2 linked regions of the Neodiprion lecontei genome follow. Each later gene encodes a partner of the first gene's protein in a complex. Links are inferred from orthologs where the notes say so. Each region holds a gene or a part of one and is shown on either strand. Other genes may lie near its edges.

Evidence for each region. Proteins that work in one complex are often made in the same cells at the same time.
Region 2: the proteins of ATP-dependent RNA helicase vasa (region 1) and protein gustavus are in contact, whole or in part, in a crystal structure (PDB 2IHS), measured with the Drosophila melanogaster proteins. The link is inferred for Neodiprion lecontei from reciprocal best matches to the Drosophila melanogaster genes vas and gus. Residues at the interface, in NP_001260458.1 of Drosophila melanogaster: Asp184, Ile185, Asn186, Asn187, Asn188, Asn189, Asn190, Val192, Glu193, Asp194, Val195, Glu196; in NP_001246140.1 of Drosophila melanogaster: Ser64, Leu65, Asn66, Arg79, His80, Pro81, Val82, Ala83, Ser85, Asp87, Gly112, Thr113, His127, Tyr131, Val218, Trp219, Gly220, His221.

What each region holds. Positions count from the first base shown.
Region 1 is NC_060265.1:29,908,655-29,916,177, forward strand, and holds ATP-dependent RNA helicase vasa, read left to right. Parts: upstream 1-2,115; 5' UTR 2,116-2,254; exon of another isoform or gene 2,255-3,141; 5' UTR 3,142-3,149; coding exon 3,150-3,197; exon of another isoform or gene 3,198-3,415; intron 3,416-3,623; coding exon 3,624-5,441; intron 5,442-5,616; coding exon 5,617-5,700; 3' UTR 5,701-6,274; downstream 6,275-7,523. Other genes in the region: segmentation protein cap'n'collar, read right to left, coding at 6,639-6,866, 7,135-7,375. UniProt on the Drosophila melanogaster protein: Involved in translational control mechanisms operating in early stages of oogenesis.
Region 2 is NC_060260.1:35,167,420-35,176,172, forward strand, and holds protein gustavus, read left to right. Parts: upstream 1-2,405; 5' UTR 2,406-2,642; coding exon 2,643-2,667; intron 2,668-5,512; coding exon 5,513-5,742; intron 5,743-5,878; coding exon 5,879-6,209; intron 6,210-6,403; coding exon 6,404-6,562; intron 6,563-6,650; coding exon 6,651-6,790; 3' UTR 6,791-7,675; downstream 7,676-8,753. UniProt on the Drosophila melanogaster protein: Involved in the localization of vas to the posterior pole of the oocyte. Required maternally in the germ line for efficient primordial germ cell formation.

The sequences.
Region 1 (7,523 bases):
CGCAAAAACATCAGACTGCCAGCAATTGTCACAGTTATGAGAATATGCAAATGGCTAACGCTGTGCTTGGTGTTCGTTATATAGTAACAACAACAACAACATATTATAGTTTCTCCTTGTTTAAGTATATATATATCGAATGATTTCCCATGCAGTATAATCATAATACGATAATCAGCAACTTTGTATGCAACGTGAGGCTGGTACTCGCAGTTCTCTTGACGTGCTGTAAGCTTCAGCTGAAAAGGTCACGAGGATATCTGTGGTTAAAGATAGCGACAATGTATTGTCGCTTGAAATAATCGCGTAGGCACTTTGAAACGAGAGCTCCAATAACTTCGGCGATATGGGAATAAAAAATACGCGAGAGGAAAAGTGAACATGAGGAGACATATTTTTTTTTCTTTCAGTCAAAGACGCTGCATTCACCCACATTGTTTACAATACCGTAAGCGGCGTATACTTATCGTGTACAGATTTCGAGTAACGACTGTACCTACAATCTTCGCCTTACCGAGACTTTGATGTGGTTACTATTTGCATATGCGCAACATCCCAACAAACATAGAACTGCAAGGACATTGCGGCCTGCGAAGCACATTGTAAAATAGTACTGGCAATGAGTCAGCATTTTATGTATGTACGACAGTACTTCTACTGTTGCCGTGCAGTGCTTCTCATGAAAGATAAAAATATGAATTACTTAATATGACCCTCCCCCACCCCCCGATCCTCCCCCGCCTCCGCCGTCGCTTGCCTCTCCAAAATTAATGGCCCGTTACGAGTTCAGTTAAGGATACCCACACATGATTCTGGGTACATAATCTAGGTTACGTGTGATACGTATTCATACAATATAGACCAATTCGCGTAAAGCTGTTCAAATAATTGTAAACAGATATCGTTCGCTCGTCTCTGCCTATGTTTTCCTCCAGACGCTACGTGAAATTGTGGAAAAACGTTATATCATTCTTTGCATTACGTTGTTTAATCCAGAATTCAAATGCCAATGGAATAGTTTTGGGGCTCACTGTTTCACGCTTATATTACAGATCTTAAATCGTGTGTGAATGTAAATATATCGATAAAAATTGAATGATATATAATGCTCGATTTTATCTTTAACGGTTTAATTTTTTTGTTTTTAGAAAAATTTGCGTGATGTTATACAGAAATAAAGCATAAATTATAAGACAACTGATCCGTAGATCTGAGCTGTTATGAATATTTGACCAAATTTACGAAATTCAAAAACATCCCACCCTACAAATGTTCAGCTCACAGTACACGAACTGTAAATAAGTTACGTTTACGAGTTGACGGCCTCGTACGCTCAATTTCAGTTGAGCACGATACTAATTGGGTCAGCCGATCTGGTTTGAGGTTTGATAAGAAATAACCGATTTGCGTTCCAAGTCTTCCATCTGATTCGTTCATGTAGAATAGAGACAGAGAAAAAAGATCGGGGAGCCATCTCTGTCTCTCTGGAACGACGTACGTCCTACAGGAAGAGAAATTCGTCTCTGATCTTTCTTCTCTCTCTATTTATCGTACGCTTCAGCGCTGCCACACCTATCACAACAACCATAGTGAATTCGTTATCCCGATATGAACTCTGCACGATGGAAGCTTCAGCAATGATAACAATTTACTAAAACACAGATCTTTCAGCAGGATCCAGCTCCGATGTCATTGATATATCTATAGCGATATATTGCAACGTTTACTTCGAATTGATTTGATTCAGAAAATTTGTGCGAAAAGATAGTAGCCGTTGTAGTTACGATGAGAATTACTGTTTTTAATCGGAAAGTACCTTTAGGTAGATCCAGAAGTAATTCTCGATGTTGATTGGGCGTTATTCTCATTCAACGGTCCGAAGTATGGAACAGAATATTTGCGCAGTGCTGAAACGCCTCCGTTAGCGACGCCCTTGCGGCATGAGTCGCAGTTTGGATTGACGCATGCGCAATACGGCGTTTGGGAAGGTTCGGTGGGTTCGATACACGGCGGCGGGAACCGGTTAAGCCTGAAGTTGCCGAGTCAGATTGGCTCGACGCTTTGTCCGTTGAGCTTGTCTTTTTCTCCCGTGAGACGTTGCGAGTTTTGTTTGCTGTAGGATCGGCACAACACTACGTCTACGCTTTCGGAAGAGAAGGCATCTATCTGTGAAGCAGATATTATTTGCCAGTTGACGATCCTGTTAGCTGTAATCTTATCGAAAAACATTCTATCTACGCGAAATACACACCTAGTAAGTACGCCATCATTGTTTCCTAAAATACACCAGGTGCAGTGCCGAATCGAATGATTTCTTCCAGCACGTGTTGGCATCCTTCTCGAAAATTCCACGATTCCTCACCCTTCCGTCTTTCGAAAAGTCGACACTTCTCACGATTGATCCTTTTACTTACTATCGGTTATTATAAATCACCACGTATAACCGTGACTTGACCGGGTTGATTTTCATCAAATTCGGTTTAGTTCTACATTCTCAGGTGGTAAAATTTTGCAAGATACTTTTTGCCCTTTGCGATCGTGCTATTTTTTCAACCTCCGCGTGTCTACTAGATAATTATAGAATAAAATTATTCAAGCTGATTGTACTGCGAGTCAAGCCCATACGAAACTATCGAGCGTGTCAACCTCTCACATTATAATTCGCGATTTTTAAAACTAGTACGACGGGTTCTTGAAAACGAATGTTTTTTTGCTGTTCCCCCACGTGGTCCACTTGATACTTTAGCGAAACGTACGCGTCATAGAATACGAATTTGTTGAATTATTAGAAATCTTGGGTCAAGTGAAACTAAAAATACTTTGTCAATCTCTGAGTATCATCACGACACATCAAACGATAATCGGTATATATTGTCAGTGAAAAATTCGTCAAACAGATGATGAAGCTAACGTAAAAGAGAAAATTATACTTCATTTGTACACATTTGAAATATTCACCAAAATAAGTTAATCCGATTGTGAAAAAACCACTATTATCTTCTGTGTACCAAATCACGATTTCGATAGGACTGTGATTATTAATTAACATGCTTGAATTTGGCTAACTTCTCTTGATAGTGAATCTTGAAAATTTCATCAAAAATTTATTTTAAAAGTAATTAATTTTTCTTCCCTCGCTAGGCTCAATAATGGACGAGTGGGACGATAATGACTCTACGCCAGTATGTACTGGAGAGGTGAGAATATTCTCTGAATCTGTATTAATGATTGGGCTTGATTTTCAAAAGGTCTTAAAAGTCAAATGAATTTAATTTAAAACAAGTTAAATGATGATACAACATATATTCTTTTGATATCTTATAAAGTTGAATTCGCAGTTGGAAAGTGCTTGTTAAGCAATCTACCAATGTGTATTGGGAAGGGAGTCTGGCATATCTTGTGTATATCGGGTGTGTACACCTCCTGCTGTTCTGTTTTTCCTTCTCATTTGCATTGAGTGTGATGAGCTTGAAAGAAATCTAAACCCTGAGTAAAATAGTCTGCAATTTTTTATTTTTCTTTTCATTCCGTTCCTACAATATTATTCTCATGCTTATCTGCAGCCATATGTGCAACTTTGTTCAAATTTTAACTAATCCCAAGTTTTTATTTTTCTGAATTAGTATACTGACGAGGGACGCAGCTATGGCAAGGGTCGTGGTTTCAAACCACGAAGTAATAACGGTGAATGGGGAGGAGAAAGCACCAATGGATTTGACAATGGAGGGGAACATGAGGACTCGGACAGACGTGGTGGTCGAGGTGGAGGCAGAGGACGTGGGGGTGGAAGAGGCGGTGGTGCTTACAGAGGAGGCCGTGATGGTGGAAGTAGATATGGAGATGGGGATGATGACAATAACGGTGACGATGGAGGATCCCGCAGAGGAAGAGGTGGTTACAGAGGTGGTCGCGGTGGAAGTAGATATGCCGATGCAGATGAGGATGCTAATGGCGAGGATGGAGGATCTCGCAGAGGAAGAGGCGGTGGGAGAGGTGGAGGTCGAGGTGGTAGGAGAGATGACGACAATGGTGGGGGCAGTGGCGGAGAAGAAAATGGAGACAAACCAGCACCTGTTGTCTATATTCCGCCGGAACCATCAAATGAAGACGCAGACATTTTTGGTACTGGCGTAGAGATGGGGATAAATTTTGATGCGTACGACAAGATTGAAGTAAGCGTTAGTGGTGAAAATGCACCACAACCTATAAACACTTTCGACGAAGCTGGCCTGAGAAGCCTTCTATTAGAGAACATCAGGAAATCAGGATATACAAAGCCTACGCCTATTCAAAAGTATGCGATACCAATAGTCATGCAAAATCGAGATTTGATGGCCTGTGCTCAAACTGGTTCTGGAAAAACTGCGGCATTTATGGTACCAATTGTGAACACACTATTGAACGAGCCGAAAGAATTGGTGGTTGATAACTTCCATTGTGAACCACAAGCTGTCATAGTCGCGCCTACACGTGAGCTTGCTACGCAAATCTTCGATCAAGCGAGAAAGTTTGCAAAAGATTCCATTCTGAGGTGTGTCAATATTTATGGAGGGACTGCAACCAGTCACCAGAGAAGCCAAGTGCTCCGTGGCTGCCACATATTGGTTGCGACAACCGGTCGACTAATGGATTTCGTCCAACGAGGATGCGTGAAGTTCAATTCTGTGCGCTTCTTTGTTCTCGATGAAGCTGACCGGATGTTAGACATGGGTTTTATAGGAGACATAGAAAAGATTCTGGATGACGAATCTATGGTAAAAGGAAAAGATCGACAAACTTTGATGTTTTCTGCTACATTCCCTGCCGCGATCCAAGAATTAGCTGGCCGATTCATGGATAACTATTTGTTCCTTGCTGTCGGGATAATTGGTGGAGCCTGCCAAGATGTCGAGCAGAACTTTTACGAGGTTAGCAAGTTTAAGAAACGAGAAAAATTGAGGGAAACCTTGGAAGCCGAGAAAGATAAAGGCGAGATTCAACGTACACTAGTATTTGTGGAAATGAAACGTACGGCAGATTTCATTGCTGCATTTCTATCAGACAACAATTATCCAACGACTTCTATTCATGGTGACCGTGAACAGCGGGAGAGAGAGGATGCACTTCGTGATTTTAAATCTGGAAAAATGCCGATTCTAGTTGCAACGGCCGTTGCTGCCAGAGGTCTTGATATCAAAGGTGTGGCCCACGTCATTAACTTTGACATGCCCAAGGAAATCGATGAGTACGTTCACCGTATTGGTCGTACTGGGCGTGTTGGCAATCGCGGCCGTGCAACGAGTTTCTTTGACTCGGAAACAGATTCAGGGATCGTAGTTGATCTAGTCAAGATTTTGAAGCAGGCTAACCAATCAATTCCAGCGTGGCTCGAATCTGGTGGTGGAGGGGGCAGCTATGCTCCAGGCAGATCCAGCAAGTTTGGTGGCAGAGACGTTCGCAGAGTGAGTAAAAATTATTTTAGGAATGTATACAGCAATCTGGGTTTTGACTAGAACTGGATAATGAACGTCAAATATTTAAAAACGTATTAATTATTTTTATAAACTGCTGCGGTATTCAAGTTTAAAGAAGTTTGTGAAGTACTTTGATCTGATTCGAAATTTTGTTGTTTTACAGTTTGAAAATGATGGCGGAGAGGGGGACTCATACCCAGAGAGCGCTTACGCTTCAGCTCCCGCCGAAGCTGAAGAAGCATGGTAGTGATACATACCAAGTGATACATACCAAGTGATACCAGGAATGTAACATATATTCCACATTTAGATCTAGCCAATAAGTCTAATTAGGTATAAGCGATTTGAGCAAAGACTAAATGTAAAGCTATAAACACTTAGCTTTACGTGACAAGTGGATGGGTGCTAGGCACTAAATTTACCATTAAACGTACAAAGATAGTATTTTAAGATGTTACGTTAGTAAGCGAGTCTGGATTTGACCGCTAAAGATTGATAAACACATTTTTTTGATTTGGGCTGTATACATCTGAAAAAAAAAAATTTATTCAAGGGTCTCGTGTCACCACAAATGATTAATATTCTCTTAGTTTTATTATAACATATTGACTCATTACAAAATTTCATTTTAAAATGAGAGTTATCTGGTGTTCAGTTAAATAGAGTCAGTAAAAATCTGGCGACACATGAACAATTTGAATAAATTTCTTTCCGCGGTGTATCATAACCTCTTCGCGTTGACAAAAAATATTGTTTTTTTGTGGGATTATTTTTATATACCTTTTTTTATGATAATAAAATAAATTTTCTTTTATAATTAATGATTCGTGTCTCATGATTACTTTCATTTCAAATATCCTTTCCCAGATCGCATTATAAGTTGTATGAAGTGAAAAATTTGTCGACGTATCAAAAAGTAGTTAATCAATTGATGAGTTGAATGAATTTTTCTTTCAAGTTTTGACACAAGATAAATTCAAGTTTTACATTACGATTCAGCCACTTTGAATTTCATTCACGTCGAGTGATTATTATTCACACAGTTATTTCTGAAAGAATCTTATCCATGCAATCAAAATTCCCAATTTCATCTCGTTCAAAAACATCGTAGATACTGGTTTTTCTCACCACTTGAAGGATTTTTAATGCTGTTTGTATCATGTAGCGAAACACAAGGGTACTTACCATCGTTCATGGCCATGTCCATGAGGTGCAAGTCCTCATCGTTGAGGAGCGACGAAAGGAATCCATCGGTGGTTTGGTTAATGGAATCCGAGGAGGGTGCATGGTAGTACATCATATCGTTCGGCTCAGCCTTGTAAGAACCAGAATTGTCCGCTCCACCCATTGGTTCACTGCTGTTGGTCAAATTCATCGAAGTCGCCACTGCTGATCCAAGATTCGACGGACCCCCTGCATCAGTGAGCAGTTTAGTTCAGACAAAAGGGAGAAAAAAAATTCAAACGAAATAGCAACGTAAATTTATTTTTTGATTTTTTCTTATCGTTAGCAAAACCGAGTTAGTATCGTATACTTTGATTACAACATTGATCGTGGATATTGTTGAATACTTCACTTGTTACGAGGGACGGAACTCTTCTTAAATAAAATATTTTCAGGGAAACGGAATGCTGATTTTGTGTAGCGATACGCTGCAAAATTCAACATCGACGATACTCACCAACATTATGATGAGGATAAGGTCCGGTTGAGTTGAGATCTCCGACTGGTGGGGCGAGAGTTGCATTGTGCAGCAATACGTTACGCTGTGCCTCGTAGTGGCTATGTGATATACCGTGGCCTGGATATCCTGGGTGTCCCGGATGAGCGAAGTGGTCCGGAGCACCCGGAAGCGAAAGTAGTGAAGCCAAATCCTGCCATCGCTGTTCCATGCTCATTGCGCGCACAAAGGGCATACGGCCCTGAAAGCAAAACAGTTTTTCCTTCGATCACGCAACAGTTTATTGGTTACAAGGAAGTTTATATTGTGCTTAACCAAAATTTCACCGGTCTAGATGGAGATTCCAAAAACTCGGCGGAGTATCGCGCCAAGTTATTTCAAACTATGTA
Region 2 (8,753 bases), on another chromosome or scaffold:
TAGTTTTTTTTTTTTTTTTTTTTTATTTACTTTTTCCTTAAAACTCAATCAGAACACGCAAATTCATAGTTTTAGTCTCGTTCTTTAAAACAAATACAATGTATAATGTAATATTATAAACCCTTCGGTAACAAATTTATATGAAAGTTTGTCATTTGGCATTTTGCTATGCGACCTCTCAAAGTTGCGAGATGCTCGCCGTCCCGTTTATGGACGGATATTGGTGCAAGATGTGGCTGTCGCAAGCACGCGAAGTCCAGACGTGGTCAAGGTAACAAAAATCTGGCCCAGAAGTGTATTATAGAGAGTGAGTGAGTTGACATTTGTCCCTGATATTTATCTCACTGCTATTATACGTACAGTCTCTTTACACAAGACTGTGATGTTAGTTTTATCCTATTTTCACCAGATTTTTCTCGTCTGTCCGATCATTTGGTTATTCCATATATTTTTGGTACAGTTTAATGAAAATTCTAGATGCCTTAGGGAGTTCAAACATGCCGAATAACGAATCTGCCGTACAATGCCACAATGTCGAACCGATCGTAAGCGAGGTGCATCATTGCGAAAAGAGTAGTAAAAAAAAAAGGAAGACGAAACAAAAAAAAAAGTTAATTGCTCACCTTTCACTTACCACAGACGAGTTGATTCGATTCGCAATCAGCAATCTAACGGAACCTTTGCACGGACTGTTGTTTCACTTTTTCTTTTTTTTTTTTCTCAATTTATTTCTTCATTCATTTTCTTCTCTATACCGTCTCGACACCGCATATAGCGTTTCTCCTATTTTTTATGATTAAACTGAAATTTTAACGCTTCGTTAAAGAAACTTCTCATTCGGTACAGTTTATTTGTAATTTTTTTTTTCAAAAGTATGCTATGTACCCAATTATTAAACGATTTCACAACATTCGTCTTTGTTTCCTATAGGCTTTTAGTTTATTTTAATTTTATTTTTATCATTTAAAAGAGGAAATATATAAAGTGGAAAAAACTTATGAAGAACGATTGTCCGTCCCGGTCTTTTCATTCTCCAAATGGCATTCTATGTAATATTATATGTACCAAAGTTTCGCGTCTTGATCTTTTCTGCGACGAAACTTTCCGTAACAAAATTCGACACCGTTGCAGCTGAAACCAGGAGAAAACTCCGCTCTTGGATAATATAAAAACCTTCTGACGTGGGCTAACTTTGTCGGACAATATGGTGATTCGTTTGAAATACGGTACAACAATAGATAACTTTCAACAATGAAAACTCTGTGACGTACGTTACACATGATCTCGCGTATTAAATTCAACGCATAACAATGTAACCTGCGAACGCTCAGGTGTAGTTGAAATTTGCACGTATAACGTAGTGAAATGATATGGATATAAACTTGCTGTATACCCGATGTAATCAAAGTCTCGAATTGCTTCTGTATAAATCGCGGATGGCAAAATACCGCGTGCTTTGTAACACGTGCTGCATGCACAGAATCCACCTTCGCTGTACGTGCAGTGAGAAAATATTTACCGATGTTGCGTGGTAACATTGATTAAAGCGAGCTTACACTGTGAATCATTGGAGATGAAATTTCAACTTGGAATCATCAATTTTTAGTCGTGCAACTTGAGCTCGATTGCATAAAAAATTGAGCCAAAGCTAGCATTTAGAGTTAGCAACCAAACGTGTTGGATTTTTTGTAAATATAAAAATGCCGTTCAGTTTTATCCTGATAATTCTATAAAAGTATCGGAGATTCATGGTATTTCACAAAATTTTATTATTTGGTCTTCAACTCTACCCTATTCGATTGAACATTAAAACGTTTGGCTGTTAATTCCAGCTGCTAGGTTCAGCCTCGTGCATAAAAAGTCTCCTACAGTTTTACGTATACGCTTGAGTTTGTCAACTATGTTTAAGTGCCGATGAAACACATTGTTAAATAAATTTTCAACGCATTACATATGAATTGCAAGAGCTCTAAATGTGAAGGTTGTAATCCATTTAAAATAAAAATGACAGTACGTTGCCTTTTTGCATTTTAAATCTTGAATTTTTTATCGGCTTGTACAATACATCCTTAAAAACGACCTATAACATAATCTTCGTTAATAACGTGTTACAGCTGTTGATTTACGCGATGGTTGAATTTAGAAAGGTTACGGGTCGTCTTGACACCTGGATATTGCGTCTTTTATTACAGGCAACTACCCACATTAACCCGGCATAGCAATATATATATACTGACGTTTGTTTTTTCGACCATTGTTACAGGTATAAAGCGAGTCGTTGCGTTAGCGGGGGCGGAAGCCGCGGCAGCGGGGCAACTGGGGCAACTGGAGGAACCGGGGGAAGCGGGGGTCTTGGAAGCGGGGGGGCGGTAGGAGGCCGCGGAGGGGGAGGAGGCGGAGGAGGGGGAGGCGGAGGCGGAGGCGGAGGCGGAGGAGGCGGGTTGGACGGGGGTGCTACGCCACCGGCCACCGGGTATCACCACCACCACCATCACCACACAACTACGACGACGACGACGACGACGACGACAGGGACACGCCACCACAGACACAAGCTGCCCGCGGGGAAGCTGTGCAGCGATCACCGTCACCACCCTCACCATCACCGGCATCATCCCCACCATCGATCCCACCACCGTGGCATGAACATGGGCCAAAAGATTTCAGGTCAGATTATATATTCGATTGGGTTTAAGAAACTTTTCCGATCCGTATTACGGTGGCTCGGATTTATACGTTATACGTATGGTTTTATTTGCGGTATCATGAAGAGCTAGTCACCCCTGAGGAAATCAACACGGAAAATAACCACAGTTTTATAAATTAGATTTAGTGTGTACCCGCGCGCGTTTCGAAAAGTCGCGTAGCTTGGAATCGAATCGGAGATGTGATTTTTTGCCGCAAATCGAGGAACGCAATTAAACTTGGATGATATGTTTCAGCGTGTTATGTATGATATGACGATGTTCGAATTGGAAACAGCGTATACACGACGGACGGGATTGCATTTTGAAAGTTGCGATTGACCCTAACATCGTATTAAAGTTTCCAAACGTATGTGGTTGAATTTACGATGCACGAACTGTTGAAAATTTTTTTCATTTTTTTTCATTTTATCGAACAGAGATCAGTCGACGAGTTGTACCTTTGTGAAAGTTTTTCCGTTGTTACGTACTACGTATAACAATACACACGTAGACGATGCATCATAGAAGGAGGATGTAGAGCGCAAGAAGGATCGGTGTTAATCTTAGTCGACATCAAGGGCTGCCTTGACACCTTCCAGCTGTGGTGTCGTATCGAAGAATTTACGATTGCGGCGAGGATCAGGGCCTAGTTTATTATACCCTAGAAATCGAGATGGGCCACGGGGTCAGAGCTTTGGGGGGGGGGGGTTCGTCGGGGCCTCGAAAGAGACTTCTGCACGGAGGGTTGGCTACCCTCCACGGCCGAAGGTTCGACCCTTCGAACCTTTCAGACCGCAGAGACAGCTGCGCAAGCAAGTACCGCACTTCAGCCTCCCTGTATTTCCTTCTCGCCCTGCAGCCTTCGGCTCAGACGTCGACCTTCTTCTTCCAAAGAGATATATTATACGTTATACTACGGTTTCCGAGGGATCTCGAGAACCACGAGTTCCCGGCTTCTTTACCCCGAGGGCGGGATTCTACGAGACACTTTCCTGATGTACAAACTCACGGACGGAGACCTGTGCAATCGTGCCACTGTACCTTAGTTTTCCTCGATTCACGTCCTGCCCTAAATTCTCAGATATCAGGTATTTTGAATCCTTGTTATACTTTCTCTCGGGTGGTTCTTGAACAGTTTGTTGTTACTGTGTATTAAATTAATTCTACTACAGATAGGTATTTTTTCACATCTTTTTTGACTAAGCTATCATGCTGTGATTTCTGTTTGTTCCTTTACCACGGAATTTCATTGGTCACCCTCAGACCGTAACCGCAATCGATTCTTCCGTTACGTCCCAGCCGATAATCACGGCGGTATCGTCTCTGCGTCGTAACTTACTGACGTGCAATCGCCATAAAAGAGCTCTTCCAAATCGATCTACACAGTTAACACCATAGTTAACAATACTTTTCTATCGACAATTCTCACAGATCATACCATATTTTATTTTACAAACCCTGCTCACATCTACGCTCAAATCTACGAGCAACTTATACATAAAATTCACATTTAACTATTATATCTTTGAAACGCATGATCAGAATTCGCAAACCTCGGAGTAACGAATAGCCACGATAGTGATAGTGATGGTTGGCACGACCCACAACAACCCAATTCCTGATTTAGACAAGCTGAATGAGAAATCGACACGAGCGGATCATCGAAGTTCGTGAACCTGGAGACAACGAGGTCTGTAAGTCGAGCTTGATAACGCAGTAACACTTCCTACCCAGCAGCAATTTTTCGCCAAACGTACAACACAAATTGTCGATTATTTCCCATTTCATTCGCTTTTGCGATCGCGGTGGTACAGGTTTCGTTTCATCGTCGGTGCAACTGAAGGATTGACAAATTTTTTACCGCATCAGAAACACCGGTCGTCATCTTGACGACTATCGTAGATGAAATGTCACCTACTTCCTCGATTTGGCGCCCATGGACAGGTGCTTGAAATATGGAAACGAGCGTGAATGCCTCCGCTGGTTCGTTTTACATACGCTCAAGTCGGAAAATATCTGGCATATCAATGAGACATAAAACAGGCGAGACTGAAGAAAAAGAAACATAAATCTAACGTATGCAGTATCGCATTGCGTGTCAGCCGTACGAGAGTCAGATATTTCAATTTCGGTCAAAAGTTCACTCCGATAAGTGCGTCTCGAAAAACGATAGAAGCGCGTTTGGCTCTTTCACGTTCCACCGAAAGCGAAACTCACGCATATACGTTGGGTTAAAATAACGTTAACGACGGCGCAAGCAGGGCACGTGGAAACGTGCAAAGGTGCGTATAGGTAGGTACAGGTACCGATATGTCGACAGTGATGTTTGCGCAGCCTTGTAATTGGCAGACTGTGTTTGCAAAATGAAGGCTCTCAACAAATATTCTACGCGCTGTAGTTTAAATGCTGACATTCCCGATCGGTGCATGTGTGACATAAATTCGGGACCTTCGGAACGATAGGTAAAGAGAGAGCGCGTATCGCACGTACATGGAATATATGCCTTCGTCAAAAATATTGCAGTATTAAAGCGACGAACAAATAGCAATAGTCTGTATGTACTAGACCTACGTCTAGGCGACAGAATCATGGCAGCTGTGCAATTTTTTTTCCTCCGGTTTTTTGCGTCTCCATCCCTCTTTCTCTCTCTCTCTCTCTCTCTCTCTCTCTCTCTCTCTCTCTCTCTCTCTCTCTCTCTCTCTCTCTCTCTCTCTCTCTCTCTCTCTCTCTCTCTCTCTCTCTCTCTCTCTCTCTCTCTCTCTCTCTCCCTCCCTCCCTCCCCCTCACTCTTGGTCTCCCTAATTCATGCATACGTGGAATTACAGGCGGCGTGAAGAGCGTGACACGTGACAGCGGTGCGGGAACTGGAGGCGGCGTAGGTGTTGTTGGCAGCGGAGCAGTCACGTACAAGCCTGTTGTACCCAGAGAACTGGCGCAGGATTTTTCGCGTCCAGCTCGCCTGGATGTCCTCCTCGACATGCCGCCCGCTTCGAGAGAGACGCAGATCAGTCATAGCTGGAACGCCGATGACCGTAGTCTCAATATATTCGTCAAGGTAGGTTTCGGAAAAAATTCCCAGAATAGAGGATACCTTCGTCTTTCCCGGATGAGAATGACCCTTTTCACTCTTCTCAACATTCCGCAGTGTAGTTGGTTTTATCGGAGTTTAAAGAAAAAAAAAAAAATTTCAGGATGACGACAAGTTGACGTTTCATCGCCACCCCGTAGCGCAGAGCACGGATTGCATACGAGGGCGCATCGGGTACACGAAGGGTCTCCACGTGTGGGAATTACACTGGAGTACGCGACAGCGAGGAACGCACGCTGTTGTCGGTGTGGCGACCGCGGAAGCACCCCTTCATAGTGTCGGCTACCAAAGTCTAGTGGGCAACAATCAGCTCAGCTGGGGTTGGGATCTAGGTAGAAACAAACTCTATCACGATGCGAAAAACAATAACGGAGTGACGTATCCTGCCCTTTTGAAACCGGATGAAACTTTCATCGTTCCTGACAAATTTCTGGGTGAGCTTTTTTTTTATCAAGTCTACTTTTCTTTATTCTCAATGTTTTCAAAGCTTTCGAGGATTTAACTGGCACAATTTCGAACCGTGCTTATTGAGTCTTGCGAAAGTAAATCGTCAAATTTGGTCAATTTTGTAATTATAAAAAGGAATAGCAAACTTTTACGACAATAGTTAACGGGAGTACAATTTCAGTGGTCCTGGACATGGATGAAGGTACGTTATCCTTCGTTGTAGACGGTCAGTACTTGGGAGTAGCATTCAGAGGACTGAAAGGAAGAAAACTTCATCCGATAGTTTCAGCAGTTTGGGGACATTGTGAAATCACGATGAAATACATCGGAGGCCTTGATCGTGAGTCTCGGAGTAATATTTATTTCAAATCATTCATTACCGAACTTCGAAGAGAAGTAACTTCATCGCGCTTTCATTGAATTTACAGCCGAACCTCTACCCCTGATGGACCTCTGCCGGAGAGTAATTCGAAAACGGGTCGGTAAGCAGAGACTAGAGGTCAGAATCAACGAGCTAAGACTGCCCCAGGCAATAAAAACGTACCTCCTCTACCGGGACAGAAGGTAACCACAGAGTGATCTTCCGGCTTCATCTCGCATCAGCATCAGCAACTACGACCACGACACCAACAACCATGAAGTGACAGAGATAATAGATGATGATAGTACCATTGCCGATGATACGCAACGGGAAGCATTTACAGTAATCTCTCCCGCCTCTGATCGACTGAATTCTTAGAAAAAAGACCACGTGTGTCGCGAACGGTCATTAATCGACAAGACACACACGCCGCACCTAAAAACTGAATCGAAATTCCAAAGTTCTTTATTATTTTTGTAATTTTGTTGTTTCTTTCTGTTTTTCGAGTTGGATTGGGTCGGGAGTTGGGTCAATCGAGGAAGATCGATTATTAATATTAAGTCTAGTCTGTCGTGTTTCTCTTTATAGTGTTCGATAATACGCATCAGCAGCACACAACGTGCGTAGGATCCTCTATACATATATATATACATACACACAAATATATATACATGTGTGTGTATGTGTGTGTGTATACGTATATATATATATATATATACACGTGCATACACAGTTATATGGTATATATATATATATATAATCTTCCAGACGACTGTCTAAAATATCTAGACAGAAATGGTTAAAATAAAGTAAAACAAGAACAAGAAATGAACTAACTAATAAGAAAAAGAGAATTTTCCTCTGCCAAAATTTATAGTAACAAAAATTGGGTTTATACACGTTGAAGAAATTGGAAAACAAAATGAATCAGCAACAGTTGCAAGTGTTGTCAGATAATTATAGTGGCATTAAAGGTCTTATGGAAAACAGTATCGATACCTACATCTACTGTAAAGAATTACTCTTCTTCCTTCGAACGCTTCGGAAAAAAAAAAAGAAAAAAAAGAAAGAAGGAAGTTAGTACACTTCGCCGAAGAGACAATGAAGAAAGAACAGATGAAAATTTGTTGGAAAAAAAAAAATACCCAGAAAAAAACTTTTAGAAAAAAAAAAACATTAAATGAATTAATTGAAGAAACGTATGCACAAAAAGCTAAACTATTAGGTGATATTATTGTTTTATGTTGTCCTTACGATTAAAATCGTAGAGCATTTATTAATTGTTATTACACCAACGGGATTGCGTTGGACGCTTCACATCACATGTATCCGCGTTTTTTTTAATTTTTTTGTTTAATACGTTGTTAGATTATAAAAGAAAAATGAAGATTTAAAAAACGCGAAAAGCCAAAATTGTAACGTGTTCGCGTAAAGGTGATGTGTGGGGCAGATCACAAGTAAAACCGGTTCGGGGGTGAGGGAGAGATACCAAAACACACGAACATTTTTGATCAGCAACTCGGCGGCGCTCCACGGTTGGCCAGTAAAATAAAAAGTTAGACTTAGTCGAGCCCGGATGCCGCAAAGCGCGAGTTTCTTTAATCAAATGAACGACAAAAGAAGAAAAAACCAAACAGAATGACCCAAATAAAACCAAACTTTGTAATTTTAACGGGAATGACCAGCAACGACGAATAGTAGTGAGGGAAGAGAGTAAGAGAAGATGACAAAAAAATTATAAAATGAAATCTGTGTGTAGTAGTGTGACAACTGCAGCTGAAATCGCCTGAGCCACCTTTTCAACGGACTCAAATTTGTTTCAAGTATTTTATAAGTATGCTCTAGATGTAACTAACTGCAGTGGTAAATCTTAGCAAGGAGTCAGAAATGACGGGAGATTGAAGGAAATGGTTGGCATAAAGAGCGAGAAAAAAGAAGAGGGAGCGAGCGACTGATATCTAGAGAAATAAAAGTGGAGAGAGAGTGGTAAAGAAATCGAAAGAGAAAATATATGTATAGGCGACAGACTATTGCATGAAAGGCAAGAATCAACCATCCGGTGAAATTTCTTATAGAAAAAAAATAAAAATGAAATAGCAAATAAAAAAAATTATTACCTCGGCTACACTGAAGTAACTAAAAATACAAAAAGTAATAATAATAAATAATA